Neodiprion lecontei: one gene and its partner. The main gene of each other region encodes a partner of the protein of the gene in region 2 in a complex. Links are inferred from orthologs where the notes say so. Each region holds a gene or a part of one and is shown on either strand. Other genes may lie near its edges.

What was found.
Region 1: condensin complex subunit 1 (region 2) and condensin complex subunit 3 share a complex: the UniProt entries of both Homo sapiens proteins name them as parts of the condensin complex. The link is inferred for Neodiprion lecontei from reciprocal best matches to the Homo sapiens genes NCAPD2 and NCAPG.

The regions. Positions count from the first base shown.
Region 1 is NC_060266.1:609,118-618,522, reverse strand, and holds condensin complex subunit 3, read right to left. Parts: upstream 6,845-9,405; 5' UTR 6,745-6,844; coding exon 6,616-6,744; intron 6,461-6,615; coding exon 5,664-6,460; intron 5,573-5,663; coding exon 5,044-5,572; intron 4,964-5,043; coding exon 4,664-4,963; intron 4,584-4,663; coding exon 4,209-4,583; intron 4,119-4,208; coding exon 3,609-4,118; intron 3,525-3,608; coding exon 3,366-3,524; 3' UTR 2,880-3,365; downstream 1-2,879. Other genes in the region: uncharacterized protein LOC107216909, read left to right, coding at 7,692-7,866, 8,003-8,073. UniProt on the Homo sapiens protein: Regulatory subunit of the condensin complex, a complex required for conversion of interphase chromatin into mitotic-like condense chromosomes.
Region 2 is NC_060261.1:30,815,095-30,824,795, forward strand, and holds the start of condensin complex subunit 1, read right to left. Parts: upstream 5,938-9,701; 5' UTR 5,677-5,937; coding exon 5,553-5,676; intron 5,413-5,552; coding exon 5,278-5,412; intron 5,204-5,277; coding exon 5,028-5,203; intron 4,480-5,027; coding exon 4,334-4,479; intron 4,224-4,333; coding exon 4,142-4,223; intron 3,756-4,141; coding exon 3,693-3,755; intron 3,607-3,692; coding exon 3,373-3,606; intron 3,296-3,372; coding exon 2,963-3,295; intron 2,861-2,962; coding exon 2,692-2,860; intron 2,635-2,691; coding exon 2,288-2,634; intron 2,204-2,287; coding exon 2,036-2,203; intron 1,935-2,035; coding exon 1,710-1,934; intron 1,629-1,709; coding exon 1,384-1,628; intron 1,296-1,383; coding exon 1,175-1,295; intron 970-1,174; coding exon 631-969; intron 452-630; coding exon 321-451; intron 135-320; coding exon 1-134. Other genes in the region: transcription termination factor 5, mitochondrial, read left to right, coding at 6,183-6,452, 6,539-6,669, 6,817-7,144, 7,224-7,642, 7,754-7,978, 8,073-8,289. UniProt on the Homo sapiens protein: Regulatory subunit of the condensin complex, a complex required for conversion of interphase chromatin into mitotic-like condense chromosomes.

The DNA.
Region 1 (9,405 bases), on a different chromosome or scaffold from region 2:
ATATATATATACTTCTCAGAGCCGCTCGTGCGGGAGTTGAACCGATGCGAGATGAACACAAAAAGAAGAAAAAGTAAAAGAAATCCTGTGGGACGATGAGCAACTAACGACACTTGTGTGTCACGTCGAGTGAGTGATTCGTCATTTTCAGAAATTAACGAGCAGCTTTTGAACTCGGTCGAGCGAGTCCGTCCACGATGACCAACCGGCCTGAATACACAGGCATATAAACACACACACCGGACAAGTTGTCATTGACCTCAGGCAATTAAAAATACGTAACAAGAGTAATGCGGGAAGTGCTAATAAGATATACATATTCATATTTTATCCTGATAAAAAAATGTTATCAATGTCATTAATTTCCCGGGCAGAATGTATAGTATGGTCTTCCTATATCCACACGTTTCTTTTTCTGGTCGTTCCTATGTATCTATCGAAAGGGTTCAAAATTTCAACAAATCGAACGACGTTAATTTCCTACTAATTACCATCGAACAAATAAAATAATGCAGTGGGTAATAATTTTACGATAAAAATAAAATAAATAAACGAACCTATGAGAATTATCTATCTATCTTTCTCTAGTGCCCCTCGTTAAATGCCATCTTACCAAATAACTCAAGACAGGGATTTGACTTTTTAGGCTGACGGATTGTAATTATCGGACTTTTATCAACACCTGCATGAAATAAGTCCTATTTTCACGCATGTTGGGTGAATGGGAAATTGTTCATTTCGAGCGTGGACGTCATTATCGCCCTCGCGAAGTAACGAGCAATAAATCAACACCGAATAATTTTGTTTATCAATCGTTGTTCTTACAATTAATTCGTATGAGTGAAATCAAAAATGAACCGTAATCATTTTATTTTAGCCCCACATGCACTTCTTGAAAAAAAAAAAAACACGGTGTTACACTCGACTCCGACTTCTGCGCCATCGTATGACCCTAGGTAGAAATAGCCCGTTTGCCTGTCCCCAAATTGCACAATGTACGATTGAATGAACGCGCTGACTGCTGCATGTCGGTATTTCTCCATTGCAGTTTCAACTCTTGCTACCTCTTACTTGAAAAAGATCCTGTCTAATCAATGAGAGAGAAACGAACGATCGACGTCTCTGGCTAACGGTTGTATCAGAGATCCGTTGAAAGTTTTCCGACAAATATTGGATGCATAAACAAAAGCAATAGGTCGCCGTGGGGGATAAAATGAAGTAATAACGACAACGCATCCCCGTCAGAGTGACCGCGGGGTGGGACGATATGAAAGCTCCTCCATCCATCAATCCACCGCAAAAAAATATAGTACAAAGATTCCTTCGCGGGCATGCGTTAAATGAAAAGCATTGCCTATCAAATTTAGTGTTCTTGAGAATTATCGGCGGGATTCTTCCTGTTTTTGCACTCGCTGACACTGCGATCTTCCCCAAAGATGCGGCAATTCGATAGAGCAAATATTTATACCGTTGATTGTATCGGATACAATACAGAAAGTTATCGACTATAAATAAGGAAATAGCCACGGTGCCAGCAAGTCGAGACACAAGGAATCGGGATAGACGCGTACCGGCGATGGGTTTGGACAACGGCTGAACCCACGCAATTATTTATCACCGAGGCCGCAACAGCCAGCTGAATGAAAAAGGACGAGAGTTTATTCTGAAATTAGGTAAAATGGAGTGTTGAGAACTAAATTGTGTAATTTTTAGAAGCAAATTGGACCAATCGCAGGGGCCAAATTGCGAGCTAGTTTGAACGAACCGGGGGTGACTCGAATCCGTCGTAGGATAAACGTTGGGGCCTCGACGCCGCGGCGTATTCGCACGATCATCCTTCCGAGGATAATTACTCGATCTATAAACCATTAGGCATATATCTACCCAGTGGGCAGCATCTTCGTCTGTGTGACGACGACGCCGAGGACCACCACTCGGTGAGTATATCGAAACCTGGGTAGAACACAGTCACAGGGGATGGATAATCAGTCGAGTGTAACAATCGATTTGGCCAATCAGGCGTGCTGCTTCGGACACTCGAAACTTGAAATTTACCGTCGATGTCAGGACCGATAAAACAACAACGGGGCAATGAAAAAAGCGAAGAAAATGGTTCACCTCGATACCAATCGAGCCACGCCAGCAACAGTCCGGACGAAGAACAACGACTCTTGTCTTGTCATTTCTAAACCTTCCCCCAAACTTTCATCCGCGTTTCGCGATACCTTTTACTACCCAATATTCTATTGCGATTGATAGGTTTGAACGGAGTTTGCGTAAGTCCGGAAGTGACTGCTAGATAAAAGATATATGTAAAGTCGGGAGAGCGTCTGAAATTTATCGAATCCGAATACTACGTACAAATTTACACTAGAGTGACTTGAAACGAGAATAGAGCAAAAGAAAAAGGAGCAGATGGATTTTACTCTGAATAATCGGTGAAAAACGAAGGGTGAGAGGGGCTACTAGGACCATAAATAAAAATTGAGAATTGAACGATCAAGTTGAAGGTACCACTGGCGTCGATTGTCTTCGAATCGCGAGAGGATCGCAAAGGGATCCGCGTTGCCTAATGTCCTCGTTTATTTGAAAGGTTTTACGGATGAATATCGATTCCGCCAGCTGCACTAACCACCCAGTGGCGTTGAGCTGCCGGAAAGCGTGCCAAATGCACGTATCCGTAGTGGAGGGTACAAAGCTCGAGTGGTTTTCAAGTTTTCAACTTGGTGGAGGTGAAGAAAAAAACCGCCCGACAGCGAGAAATCGAAACTCTGCTGTCGTGGCGACAATGGACTTTTTTTCTAATCTTTCGTTGCCGAATAAAGACACATAGCGAGCGAGTAAATAGCATATAACGATGAAAGAAAGAACAGAGCAGATTTACGGTCAATCGGAAATTCTATTACGTTATAGCTCTACAAAAATGAACTCGAGACTTTTCACGAACCATACGACTGATTTGTTTCGATTGATTTATTATTTCTGACTTAAATTAATTACCGCAAAACGGAGATCAATCAAAACGGGAAAACACGCGTGGTAGATAGCGATTAGCGAGTACGACCCGTGTTTAAAAAAATTCACCAGAAATTTCACAATACATATGATACACATGACAAATTGTTGTGATGATTAAAAATTAATGTGATGATATTTAATATGAGAAAAATTATGAATTGAGCCACTTTTGTGTTTCGTTCATCATGGTTTAGAATACCAAAAAAATGCCATCACGAATTCAGTACAATTATCACCTAACCCGAGCTTCTCACGAAGGGAAATCCAGCAGATGTTGATATACTGATCGAATTAGAACGCGATTCATCGTCTTTAACAAGGCACGAGGGAGCAGGCAAAAGTCACTTCTAACACGCATCAAGCTCTTCTTCGATCATTGGTTCTTCTTCGATCATTAGCTCTTCTTCTGTTATTGGCCCATTTTCTGCTCCGAATTTGGTTTGATTGTCCAAATTGCGCTTGAAATGCGACAACGTGTTAGTTATACGTTTTTCGGAAGGTTCTACCTGTAATTAGGATTGAAAGTAAGAAATATACCAATATTCTCCATAATCAATACATCTGCTTGTATAAGGATAATTTTTATTAACCTGTTCTGAAAGTCTTTTGACAGACTCTTGAAGGCATTTTCTCATAGAATCATCCTCCAAATGAATATGCAAATACCTCAAGCTTCGAATAAGTAGTTTGGGATCTATACAACTGTCAGAGTTGAGAGCCTCGGCAATTATAGCAAGGGCCAAATTATTATGGGCGCAATAGCCTAGAAGACGATCCTGAGCTTCAGTTTTCGTAAGGTGCAAAATAAGTTGCGCAACCTTGAGAGGTTCAATCTCGTGTAACGGACTGGTGTCTGGAGCATTGGCCAGCATTTTCAGCGTCACGAGAAAGGAGCGTTCCAGCATTTCTTGGCTATCTGGTACAACGGCGCCAAAATGGTTGAAAAAATAACTCAAACACTGGCGCAGATAAGAGTCGTTATCAGTCACAGGATTGTGCCATAAAATAATGAGTCGCGCGACCAAAGAAGGACTGGAGATTCTTCGGTGTAGTAAAAGCTTGCAAAGACCTTCAACCGCAATTGTCCGTAGGTCCCGGTTCTGCAGAAAGCAAAATATCGAGATTGTTGCAGGAATAAAAAGTGTCATGAAATTCGCTCGAACGGTAAATTGATCGGGTGCTGAGCTTACGGCATTATCCAATAACCCTGTGAGGATATTGATGATATTTCTATTTTCGCAATTCAGGGAAGGTCGCGGAGTACTGAGCAATGTATCTGTATCTTCCGACTGACTATACAGTCTGACAGTCCTGTTACTCCTACTTTTGTTAGCTTGACCAGTGTCTTCTGGTGTTTCTGGATCTGGAGCCATACCCAGACGCTCAAGACCGTAGAGTACCAATAAATCAAATATGCCCTTGAGTGCGGCGAGCCAAATGTCGTCATTTTCGACACTAAATTGCAGGAAGAAAACGGGTATGTATTTTTTGGCCAAATCCTCATCCAGGAGACAACAAACTGTAGTTGCCTTCAGTGCTCCGATTATGACGCTGCACACTGAATGCTAGAAGTATGAAAAATCTAGTTTATCCAAATTGCAATAAAAGTTTTTCAAATATCTTCACAGCATTTCTATAAACCTACATCGAGATTGGGAAGAACCATATCCATCAGAAGGCTTCTCAACATCGGACACAATGTCTTTACGCTTTGCGTCATGGAGAACATGATTTGCAAGCACTTTGTCAGTGTTTTTTTGTCACTTTTCATTTCATATTCTTCCCGCACCTCTTCCACAACCTGATCTGTGCCAAGATCCTCAATGGCAGCTTTCAGAAATTCAATTTTGGTTTTTAATTCCTCTGCCCGCAAAAAATTTTTACTTTGGATCGCCACATACTGATACTCTTGAACTTGAAGTAACTCTACTTTCAATTTTGCTTTCTGAAACAATGAGTATACAACTTGAGGTTATAGTAGTGATCGCAACAAATGTGAATCCTCAAATTTTCACAAAATGATACCTTCATATCTTTCTCGTGTTTTTCAGCCTCGGTTAACGGTACAACCTCGGTTGTCAATGGCATTCGCAGTTCACTTATCACATTGGCCAATAAATTCAATCTACTTTCGGTATCTGGCACAATAGCTACACACTGTTGAACAATACTATCGATAAGAGCTTCAGAATCATGATCTGACTTTAGTGTATCTACTATCAATTCCTTCAAGTTTTCCCTGCCAACCTCGTCATGTAGATCGCAAATTTTTGTGATTTCAAACAACTGCAGAAGAATGAAACGAAGCGTGTTCTGTTCCCAAGTTTCACGCTGATCATGTTTCATCAGATTCATGAAATCTCTGATGTACTCACAAAATTTGGAAAGTTCAGGCAATATTTTATCAATCTCATCTTGACAGCCCTCACGCTGCAGGTGTGTAATCACGCACCGCCAATAAATTACGCTTTCGCTTGTTAATTTTTCAAATGGAATTAATTTTGTGTCAAGATCGACAGGCACATGTTGAATGATGTTGCGCACTGGAGTAAGTCTGGAAACGAAAAACCGGATGATACGATAATATTTTTCATTGGAACAGGCAATTAAGTAGAGTTTCACACCCAGTCATCAAATAAACCTACTTCAATAAAACATCCAGCATTAGAATAGAAATTTCCAGTGCATTCTCGGCGTCTAATGCTCGGAGCAATTTGATGAAATCTCCCTCGTAATGTTCCAGCCAGGTGGGTAACAATTGCATTTTAACATACTTGCTGACCTTTTCAGATCTATCGCGTAGTCCGTCGCTCAGCAACTTTTCTCTTTGTTCGATGGTCAATGATCGAACTGTAATTTTGGTTAAAAATTGAAAAGCCAGTTTTCTGACACCATCGTTAATATCACGAGTTCTTCGCAGCGCAGCTGCTAGTGTTTGTTTGTTTTTTCCCATTGTGAGCAAGACTGCTCGGCGAACTTCGGCTTGTGGATCTTTGTTAAGGTGAAATATGAATGCCTTAATCACAGGGCAATGTTCATCTGACGGATCTTGAAGACGATGAAGAGCTAAAATTGCCTGAGCCCTGATTTTGGGCACTTTATCCAGTAATCGCTCAGTCATACATGTAGTAATTCTATCGCACAGCAAATCATCTATAAACGCATTGTCCCCCATAGAGTTGAGGAGCATATTCATAAAGTAGCACATACGGAACCTCAGCGCTGCATCTCCGACATCGTGATTGTCTAGTAAAAACTCAAACAACGAATTCATGAAAGGGCAAAGTTCCTCTTCCTCGGTCTCATGGTTAAACGATTCTACGCTGACTGCAAATTTTGCGGCAAAGATAAGTACGTTCTCGATACGAGGATGATGCTCTCCCTCGCCCAATGGAATTAACAAACAAGATATGAATGCCCTTGTAAAGTCTTTCTCACTCATCTGCAAAGGATTAGTATTTTCGTGAGTTATGACAAATCGACGTGCGACACATTCGAGGGTTCGTACTACAGCAGAATTTTTATGGGCAAAACTGCATTTAAAGCAGAGCCAGAACCACTCGGATGGCTGAAGAAATAATTCTGGACTAGGCTCACCTTTTGGTACAATTTTTTCAACTTCGACATGAACTCCGGGTGAACTCTCCGGGAATACTGAACCTGCGTGAATGCCTCCTGCATTTGCACGAGCATTCCGGCCATTTTTTGGCATAAACGATACACCATGTGTGCGGAAAATTGGGCCCGAAACTCAGTCTCGTTAAGACAAACACAACCGCGCGTCAGGAGCCGTCGACATCGTTGACATTTTTCATTTGAAATCAATGATGACGGTTTGGCTGCGTTTGACACCGATTATCGCTGAAGGATCTCAACTACTCTCGATAGTCGGCACTCGATTGATATCGTCAGCTTACGTAACCTCGTGGACGCAGCCGCAGTCGTCGGCCATCGTGCACGAGAGACGGACCCGAGTTGATTTGTCACAAGTTCATTGCAGAAAGTATTTCCACGGAACGGTAATGATACACTCATAAGCTTAGATTATTTCTTCGATGGGTAGTTTTGTGATCAAAAATCATGAATGCTGAGCAGTCGGTTACCTTCGGCTCACGTCGCACAACGAATTTATGTCTCATTCGCGGTGAAGTAAAGGTTCGCACAATTATCAGCCTGCAATGTCACTCGATGGATCGAAAGTTCGAAAGTCGCTTCGTCTGATCTACATTCTGCCCTGTTCCGTCCCTATTCTATACGCTAGTAGTAACTCTATCCTCTTACTAAATATTTCTCATTCCCACGAAAGTAATACCGTCCATTTAGCAAGGCTAGTGCTAATTTCCTGCCAAACGTAAATCGTTGCAATATTACATAATTCAACTTCGTAAATATTTCCGGAATCCGTTGACTCCTGTTTTCACATTTCATCTAGAAATTACCGATGATAGTCACGTAGATCGACAAAATTTTATCATCATGATTTAAACCGTGTTTGTGGATGGTGGAAATAAAACCTGATCATGCGCCTAGTTTTAAGGGGAATATAAAAGTTGACGTAAGAAAACACAGAACTCTTAGTTTCTGACGGGATGTAATTTTTGTTCGTAACCCGGTATTGGGAAAAAAAGAATAGAGATGATAATTATTGTTTCATGGTCTGTTGTTTAGCAAATATGTCTGGAGAACCACCTGCTCCAGTGTCTCGTCCCATGAAGTTCCCGTATACCATTTCGGCAAAGATTGCACAATTTCCATACAAGTTCTATTGGAAGTACTGTTGGCAATTCAGATTCTACTATTATGGCGTTGTCGCCAGCCTACCCATAATCTACCAAATTCACAAACTCGGTAAGCAAAACAATTTTTTTCATTGCTCAGCACAGTTCTTTGCATGAAAAGTAGGAAAAGCAGTGACAAACGATTGTGACAGTATCTATAGACTCGGTACCTATTCAAGACTATATATTTTGTTCCTCTTTTATAGCTAACAGTCCAGGAAACAAAGCTGCATACGCAGAGATGAGAAGGAAGGAAGCAGCTGAACATCACCACTAGAATTTTCATTCAACTATTGCTTAGAAGAGTCGCGAATTAAATTTTAGATATGATCTTTTCGTTGTGAAATTTCTGATGTTCCGTAATACCTCTTATAAACAAGGTGTAGTCGTCGACAAATAAACATCGCGCCGTAAACTCATTTCGTTTGATTATTCGAGAAATTCTTTGCATTAATTTATCCACTTGGAAGTATAGAAGTAAAGCGTCAACCGTCGTAGGTGAAAATCAATTTAAAATCGTGCACACAGTTGTATATTAGTGAGCGTCTTGCAAAGTGGCAAGGTACACTGGCAATCTATGAAAGAAGTAAAATCGGTAACAGTAAATCCGAAACTATAGACAAATCGGAAAACTGAATGCTACAGAGGCGGTGAAAACGGTGTGAAGGGTGTGACGTAAGTCTCTTTGGTGCAACTCGTGTAAACACGGACCCAGCAAATAGAGGCATTTTCCTCGTTTAGGAAATTCTTATCAACCTGAACGTTATGCAATTTGGTAGCATTGAGAAAGGAAAAAAAAGATAGTTATGTATTTCAAAGTCATGCGACTCACTCGTGCAGCGTCGCAACTATATCTGTGCATCCACGTGCTCTTCTTCGGTTTCTGCAGAAAATCTTTGCGAGGGAATCCACTTGCCACATCCTCAAGAGTACACTGACAATACACAACACACGCGATCATTTCCGACTCGAGACGCGACTAGGGCCGCACGTAGAGAAATTCTTTCACACTTGACACTTTTTATGCGGAAACCTTGTTTCGAATCTAATTGCCGAAGCCGGGTAAATAGGTACCAACCAAGCGTTTTTCGCGAGGGAACGCTATAACTCCGAGGTTAACTGAATATTGAAAACAATGAACGGGAATCGTGTGGATCCGTACAACTACGTACCGCAAATACCGCGACACACCGAATCGCAATGTCAAATTTGTGCCACACGCGTTCACTTTTTACACTTTTTCCACCGCAATGACGAAAAACTAACAATTCAAACCGCCAGATTACCCGACCGATATCACGACTCGATCGTCAGTCAATTTTTTATTCCACACCGCGATTCCGCCAATAAGTCGTCCAATGTCTGGACAAATGACATTCGATAAAATCGATATCGAAACGGTTGATGCTTCTAGAATGTTAATCCAAGTTAAACGGAGATAATGTGTGTGTATTAACACGGCGACTATCTACGAAAATCATTCTGCCTTTACCTTTAAACCGTATCGAGAGTCGTAGTCATCTTGTGTTTAACGGACTTAGCACGTCGTCGAATTGGCGAATATGTACGGTCATCTTGCACACAAAATTAACTCTTCAGCCGCACAGAA
Region 2 (9,701 bases):
TTAAAAGCTGAAGATATTCCTTGCAAAACAATGAGCTTACAGTCATCATTTTGCTAAGAGCAAGTGATCCTGATATCTGCACATCTTCATCCGTGTACTTTTCAGGATGTTGGCAAACATCCAAAACCATGGGCCTGTAAAAATTGTTATTACGACATTGACTTAAGGTCCTGTAGTTAATGCAGTAGTACAAAATAAATTCTGAAAGATTTTCAGTGAGATTTGATTGTTTTTTTCTTATCCACTGGTAGATATACCTGTGCATTGATAACTGTTAGAATTACGGGAGTACACCGTTCCTTCAATAATTTGCAACTTACACAAACTTGGCTAATAATCCGTTTCCTGAAACCACTTCATTTTCCAAGACATTGTGAATAAACTCAGCATCACTGTCATCCGCTGTTGCACCCTCTATTGCTTCTTGTCCATTATCTTCAATCGTAGAAGTCTAAGTATTAAAATTTGTTTTAGTATTTAATTTAGAATAATACAATTATTTTGAATAATACTAAGTATGAAAATTTAGCCAGACATGCTGCACTACAAAACTGTATATTAAGCCAAAAATATTTCGTGTTGAACAAAAAGTAGCTTTAGATTCATGAAACTGTTATTCAAGCAAATTACATCTTTTAGGCGCCTCATCCGACTAGCACTGGAAGGTGTATCCAATTCGCCATCACGAATGCTCCTTGCCGTTGTATCTGCAATATTTCGAATATTTATATCTCCTTTCCTCTTCAATTTCACCATTTCTATCAGTGTGTTTCTTCGCTTCAATTCCTTGTATACATGCATGTCCAAATGTATCATTTGCCTAATAGCAATGTGGCCAACAACGTGTAATAGGTTTGCAAGTTGTGCAGAAGGCATGTTTCTTCTGTGAATTGTACCATTTGCCAATTGAAAATTTTTCACCAACTGGCTGAGCATTTGTTTCATCAATAAATCTGGTTGGTCTGCTAACTGCAAATCAAGTACGTAATGTGTTTTACTTCATCGAAATATACAAGATTTTCATTATTTAACCCAAAACGTTATCATTCCGCGCAAAAAGGCAGCATGAAAGAACGAAAAATACGTGATAATCAATTGTATAATTTATCAATACCTGAAAATTCGAGCAAAGGGAAAAAAATTACGAATTAAGGAATCAAGATTAAAATCTTACGTGATAAATAGCATTGATTGCTTCCGTTGAGAATGTGGTATAGCAAGTTTCGTCAATGTCTTGAAATTTATTCACCAACAGAAGTAGAATTTTTTCAAACACTTCGTGCTCATTGGGAAGCCTATGAAATGTAAATGGGTTCGATAGAGAATTAGGGAGTCAGTCGAAAGGTACGTTGACCAAAGGGCTAACTAAATTGAATGATTTACCTCGATGGGCATTTTAATGGGTCAGGATTTTGCACTGCCACTTTGGTCATTGCACGACAAGTATCTCTAGCGAGTAGAAGGTCGGTTTCTGCCCTTGGGCCAAGGCCCACACTGACAAGAATGTCAAAGTTACCCGTAACAACTGCGGACTCAGTTGTAGATGCCATAGTTAAGAGCATAAGTGCCGCTCGACTCTCTTCTGGCAAGGTGTCGGTTAACTTGAGAGAAAACCTTTCCCACAATACCTTTTCCAAATAATACAAACAGTAATTAAGCTCTCAGGTCCATAATGAAAATGAATCCTAAGCTTGTCTCACTGTACTTACCCGAAACACCTCTGCACTTATTACTTCTTTTTTTCGCCATAGCGTAATGAGTTTTGTGAGAGCAGGACTTTCACCAGGTTCCAGACTCTTCACCATTTTAATAAGTGCTTTAGCAATAACTAATGCCTTGTGCCTTTCCGAGGTATACTGTTCACTATCTCTGATGTATAACTCCGTGTATACTTCAGCCAGATTTTCACAAACTGATACATCAGAACTGTAAACCTAGTTTTTCAAATGATTGTAAATATTATAATAAGCGAATATCTCTACTATATATGTATATGTATAATGTACTTCAGTGAGCAAAATTTAAAATATTCTACCTGGCGAAGTGCCTTGCGCATAGCATCTTTAGCTCCTTCAACTTTAAACTGACATGCAATGCCTAGAAAACTGCAAGCTTCTATGGCATCACTCGATGAGATCGAGGACAATCGTATTTCTGCTACAGGTATCGCCTTAGAAAGCTCAGTAGCGAAGATTAAACAGTTCTAAAATGGAGAAGCTGGTAAGTTTCCTCATCCAATTATTTACATGGTGTTTGCATATTAATTGTCTATATTTATGTACTTTACCTTAATATACTCCACCAATCTTGCTTGAGTTGCGTAATCTTCTTTTCTCGTTTCCTTCTCTTTCTCATATTCCTTCATTTGTTGATCAATATCGCCACTCCCTTGATTTTCTGTAACTATTTGAACTTCTTGCGAATCTATGAATACTTTGTGCAGTACAGACATTAGGAACTCTTCTTTGTTTTCAGGGGTCATAGTATCGATGGGAAAACTTTCTGGCAATTTTGCACTTAAACTCATTAGCTGTTCCAGTGCTTCGCGGATTTTTTCTTGAAAAAGTAGCTGTCTCAAATTTTCAAAGCGAGAATCCAGTTCAGAAAGAATATCCTCCTCGCATTCCATGTGCTCTGTAAGATTAGCCACCTTTATAAAGGGCCAGAAAAATACATTTGATAGGGTATTACCTTCGACACATATGTTTGATATAGCACTTTGGATGCTTGGGGCAAGCGCATTCCAAATGTCTACTCTAATCTTCGCTCCTGGTTCACTAATACTTGCAAATCTTATTCTCAGAGTCTTGAGTTTTTTCTTTGCATCTGCCAACTGCTGTGTCAACTTGTCTAAGTTGAACTGGAAAGAACGAATATTAATACAAGTAAAGTAATGATTAGATCATCTATCAAAATCAGTGTTATGTTAGGCAATGGAAGACAGAAGACAAGAGAAACTTACTTTTCCAGCAAATGGATTGCACTGCAACAAAGTTCTGAGTAATTGAAAAGCATATTTGCGAACAATCGCGTTTTTATCATTTAATCGGTGAATTACCGCCGTAAGAAGAGCGTTTTGATTTACTAAGGGCACGGCACCTTCTGTGCAAAGATATTGCCAGACCTGAAGAGTCTTGGATCTAACAAACGCGTTTGTGTCCAACAAATGATCCATAAGGTTCTCCAAACACTCGTCTCGTGTTGTCTTCTGATCTTCAGATAGATCTTCAGACGTTAGAATCTCTTTCACTATCGTTCCCAGTATACCAATCACACAGTTTCTCATTAGGTAGCACTATAAAGCAAAGAAAGTGTTGCACGAAATCTGAACATAGAAAATTCACCAATCATTTACACTGATCTCTGTTATACCTCATTTGCAAGATGGTCAGTCAAGTTGCTAACAGCTGGTAATATGAGGTTTGGTTTTGACGAAGCAATTGCGTCAAGGAAAGTCGCAATGTTACGCGTCCCCCCTTCCTCTGGGGTTGCTCGGTCAACTTCACGCAGTATCTCCTTAATGATACCGGTGCATTTGGTTTGTTCAATAACTTCTATTATACCAGTTGCCAAATACACTGCTAGTCCATCGCACATTTTGACCAACTAATTCCGAGGAAACATTTTTTCATCAGGATTAACTGCATACTTCTAGTTAACTTGAGGTAAAGAATTTTCTTTAGGCTACTAACCTGAACTACTTTTATTACAAAGGATATACTATGGTTGTACCGCTTTACTAGAGTCCCCAGTATCTGAAATAAATGAGATTAGACATTGCCAGTGATAATTAGTATTCAGAACTGGAATCAGATTTAAAATTTTCAAATAGTAGGTATAGCAGAGAAAATTAAACCTGCAAATCTAGAGTTTCTATACAAAATTTCATAAGAGCTTATTTTTTCAATAGACTTTACGAAACTCATTATTCACTGTAGCTGGTAGAAAATTGAAAAAAAATATTTTCAGCAATTCGTCAAAGATATAATGAGCATTTAATAAAGTAGGGGTAAGTGATTGAAATATTTCTATGTTATGCCAAAGACTCCATAACTTTCAGAATATATTCAGTAACAGTGAATACCTGGTTTACAGGTTCTTTAAGCATTGAATTAATTGTATATTGTCCATGAAAACTCACTTGGAAGATTGATTCCCGCACAGATTTGTCTTTGACATTTTTGCATCTTTCTAGAACCCTGTAGCATATTTCTGAAATGCACCTAGACAATAAAAGATTTTAGAATATACAATTGGTTCTCTAACAAGACATGCTTAGAGTTTTCATTTTTTTCGGAGTTTCCAAATAAACCTGTGACTAAGAAATACTAACTTGATAAAACTCCCATCAGCTATTGGCGGTTGCCAAAGTTTTTCAAGTGGCAATTGTATCCAGTGATATATCTGTACCAAAATTTCATCGATTTGATCATACCACTTGAGTTCCCAATCCGTTTTCGATGATACTTTCTTCCGTTGCTAAAGCAAAATTTCAAAGACAAACAAGAGATTAAAAACACAATAACTGAGCGATTGGATGTAGATGCAGATTACATAAAAACAAAAACTTATGCAAGATATAAAACATAGCAGTCATTTGTAAATTGCCTAACTTAATAAAATGACGTCTAACGCTTCTTTGGAAGATAATCAAGGTGAACGATATATTAATTGCTAAATAACTAAAATAATAACGAAAATAAAAGAGACTAAATTTTGAGTCATTTCCATGTTCTACACATCAGGGTTTACAAGCAGAATTAATAATCTTGTGGCTTCTTTGTATTATGATTTATTAATATAAAGATTAAGAAAAGAAATTTTAACCTATTACGTTTAAATTTTGTGATTTCAAGTTTCTTGAAAGAAATCGTTGCTATGTTTGTGGTACTGTGGGTTGCTGCTACATTTAAATAGTTTTTTATAATCAGACAACAAACCAGAGTACTATTTCATATTTTACCCTTACTGTTTTTATAATAATGTTTTTGTGAGAACGTTTTGAAATTGTAGAAATCGTTTTTCACCTTTGAACTTCCGCCAGCAGATTCTTCAGACACAACAATCTCGATGTGACGAATTAAACTAGACAACAGGTAAGCGAGCATATTGGTGATGGTAAGCAGTTGTGGTTTATCTTCTGCCGCTGGTTCTCTTCCTCTGTCGTACTGCTTTTCTAATTCGTTTGTAAACATTTTAAGGCCTGAAAAGTAACAAGTAAAACATGTAAAGAATTATGTTTTGTTGTGTAAAAGTTGTGAAAGTTGAAATACTTACATTTGTGGATTCGATCAACTGCTAAAAGGTGAACAGGTATTTTTAAATTTGAGCCGTGCACGAGAACAGAGAAGAATTTGTCGAAGTGTTCGAGCAAGAAGCTGGGCCCCTCCTCCTGCAGGATAGCATTTGTATCTGAAATAGTAATTACAGCGGTGGACTATCAAGTAATAGAATTATCACAAAATTACAGCAACAAACAAGACAGAAAAAAAACCAAAACCCGGAATGAATATTTAATAGTGGAATTTGACTAAAATATAATGATAACATACCAGCAAGAATGTTTTGTATGTCCCGAAGCGGATATACATTTCTAACGGAGTATTTTCCCGGCTGGGTCTGAAGAAGTTGATCCTTGTCGGACGGTATCACAAATTCGGGCATGGCGCTCCGCATTTTAGAATAGAATTATTTACTCAGAGTTTCACTGACATTTCACACGTTGTTGATACACGCGTTACTGATGGCGTTCTTAGTTCGCAATTGATGTAACGGCGGAATTTTGAATCTAGTGACGCCAACATCACACTGCCGGTTATCGCTGCTCAAATAGCCGACAACAATGTATGTTTGGGTCTGCAGAGTTGTCTACACTGTTTTCCGCTTAACTGCACTCACCTTCAGAGTACTTGAGCTTGTAAGAACTTCACCGTGAAGTACGCTCCTTACCATTGATGCGTTAGAAAGAGACATGTCTTTGTCGACGAAATTGGACAAAATACTCCAATCACGTCTCCGTTCACCGTCGAACACAGGGAACGTCTGAATTACCGACCAATACTTGGCCCGCCGAATATGGTTACTCGAGGGCATCACGAAAGAACGATACCTGAAGTATCAAGCGTAACACCGGTGCGGCATTAAATCACGGATGGAATAGATTCAGAGATGAAAATAAAATCATGCTGAGATTTACTTTGAAAAATTGGCTTACAAATAATCAACAGTGTTTAAAAACGACTATCTTCCATGTGACAAAGATGACACAGATCTCAGCAACGATAGAAAATCAATGCAATAATTCAACAACTAATGCCACAGTAGAAAAGATGAAATTTTTGGTTAAGTTATTGAAAATTGACACAAGAGAAGCACGGCATTATTTAAAGGCAAATCAACTCTTGCGCATGGTTCCAAACGAACAAATCGCCGAAACCTACGCACTTTGCTTGGTGAGTATGAGCGACAAGATTAATAAATAAAAAGACGATAAGTACCGTATATTGATTCATATTAAAAAGGCAAATACCACACACAGAAATATGGAATTGGCAACGAAGTGAAGGACATTATAGGAGTAATATCTCTCAAAGCATCCACTTTGGAGCGAAGAATAACTTACTTTCAAGAATTGGGTTGCACAAAATTATTAGCAAACATATTAAAACCGTAAGTAAATACTTGAGAATGTGACAATATGCAACTTTCATTATGACTTCATTCGAATCACTTGATAACGCGAGTAAATACCTTAAACTATTAACTATTAATGTCTGTTATATCAGAAGTTCTCACCCTCAGTCTTGTGTATTCCAGTTTTATGACAGGCTGTGAATACAGTCTTCAACAATTTCAGGACTGGAATCTGCTACCGGCTGATGTTGACATTGCGAAAAATATTTTCAGTGTTCTCAATAAACCACCGCCAGATGTTCCATGCTTAGATTCACTAAAAAAAAGTAATTCTATTCACACATATCGCTCCATTTGCCTAGAGCATTATCTCAAGTGGCGGCTGGAGTACACTGAAAAGGAATTGAGTAAATTAACAGCAGTTATACAAAAGTTTCGTTATTTCTCTATAAGATCGATCGAAGAAGTAATCGACTGTCTAGAGAATGAACTCGAATTTTCTAAAGCTAAGGTAACGTCAATTTTGAATTATTTTTCGGGTATCATTAGTAATTGTTTATAGTAAATAATTATATTTATGTTTTCCATAGATAAAGCAAGCTAATTTTCTACTTCGTGCAGACGCAACAAATATCAAGCAGTTACTGACGACGTATAAACAAGTTGCTGGCAGTGATATGAAGCCTTTGTTAATTAAAAATCCAAAACTTTTGGACGTAAAGGCAGACCTGATCCCTGCAAGGTTAGAGATTCTTAAAAAACACGGTGTGACAGAATCTGCGCTAAAAGTATATCCTACTATATTATTGCTCTCGAAGGAAACCATAGAATCTAGACTGAAAGAGATACAGAGCATACCGGAATTAAGAGGTTTTTTGGATCATCAACGCTTATTGCTCTTAATTCTATATTTACGAAAAGCAAAAGATCGTTTACAGTTCATGAAAGAGCATAATGTGAAGAGCATCAGCCTTTTTACGCTTAGCTCTAGTTCCGTTTATTTCAATAGGTTAGTGAAATAATTCGTTCTTCATCACTTTTTCACTATCAAAGTTTACTCCGTTATTCTTAATATAAAAAGAATTCTTTATTTCTCTGCTTTTTTATTTCATTTTTGAAGACAACTTGAAGAGGGACTTGTACGAGCTAAAGGTACAGACTTGTTACAATTTTTGAGTAAAAACACAGGCGCCTCTCAAGCTTCTATTCACCGGTCCCTACAGAAGAATTCAATGTGGCTTCATGCACCATTTATTCACGTGGTGGATACATATTTTTATTTAATAGAAAGAAATTATACCAACGAAGATATTCTGAATAATGTTCATATTCTACTCTACAAAAGGTAAGACGATGTTTTTTCGTGATTAGAATTAAGAAAAATTCAAACTTTGTATCTTTCTTCACTGTCAAAATTAATTATTTTTTTTATTCAACAGTTCACGTGTTGAACAAGTGCTGGAAAAAATTGAATCCGACGAATCCGAGAAATCTAATAATTGGAGTCCTAGTCAGAAACTTGCTTTGTGTGTTTATTATATTGAAAAAAAATTTCATTTTTCCGGGCTCGGTGTATTAGAGGATACGCCCGAACAGCATTTACTGACGTCGGATCAAGTAACAAAAAACCAGGTTTTGAAAGAAGAAGGAAAATAGACAACTGGTTTCGTAGTTATTATACCATTAAATCTACTTTCGTATCGGTTGTTTATAGACAAAAATTCGAGATGTTGAGTCTTACGTAATTAATGGCATAATTCCCGTGATTTTTGATTTTTGATCAAACTTTTTCCTCCCACCTGTTCGACCATCATCCAGAAATTTGTGTGAATAATGCTATAGATTCAAGTTCCGACTGTACAAAGTGAATTATAAGATCGATTTGATTTGGAAATATACTTAATCACAATATCCTTAGAACATATAAAGTATTATATGCTCTAAGATAATATCCAACGTTGAATAAAGGCCGATGATTTCATTGGCCAGTACCGTTAAATCCGGCCAATGAAATCACTTACACGTCGAGACAGGCTTCTTGTGGATCATGAACGGGCTCCAATCACCTGCAAATTTCTGTATATATGACACACCGGGTCAGCGGGGCTTTAAGATGCTTTCATGAATAGCAGATCCTGTATATTATGTAAATATTCTGAATATTTTAAATTTTATACCAGAACCGATTTCGTCGTGTAACATTTTCTTTTCACTGCGGCGCACAGGTTTCTTAGAATTTTTTGGAAAACTGTATTATACCTGAAAAATGTCTCTTATTTACATTGCTATTTCTTTGCTTATCGAAATTCTTTACCATCCAAGATACATTAAACAGGTATGTATTATATGTACATACATAGTTAAATCTCATTAACAGAGTATGTGAAATCTTGCGAATCAAATATTTTCACCAATAATTATCAGTCAGTGATGGGTTGAATGTCCGAGAAAAATTAGAATAGATCTCTACAACACGTAGTGTTGAGTTTCATGATAAACGATGGTTCTATGACTGCTTTTCGTACAGAAATCTAAATTGTAGATATGAAATTGAAAAAAAAAATAAAGAGTAAAAATAAAAAATTGAAACGTATCATTCTATAGTTTAATATGAAAATCTGATTATAATTACGTGAACACGGTTATATGACAACGCTATTAAATGTCAATGCAGGGAACTTCGCAGTCGCTTCCTCCTCGGTATTTGGCCAAGTTATCGCGATGCGAAATTCGGCGTGTTTGCTCGGCTATAGTTCGCCGAGTACTACCGATCACTCTGCGATCACTATAGATTTTCGGGCACCCCTATTTCGCGCGCTGTTGTGATTGGTCGAACCGCTTACCTCACAATTGTCGTTGAAGCGGTTCATCGGATTTACGTCAAAAAAAAAGTCTGCTATCACAAATCGAATTCAAATCTGCCGCTGTCAACTGCTCTCACGCCGATATATATTTTCTCTTATAACAGCTTCGTTTTTTGATGTAACGTGTGTAATGCATGCGTATTTCTAAACAGTATTTTATGTTACGCATGCGTCCAATGGTAGTTGTTTAATTTTTGCTTCAGT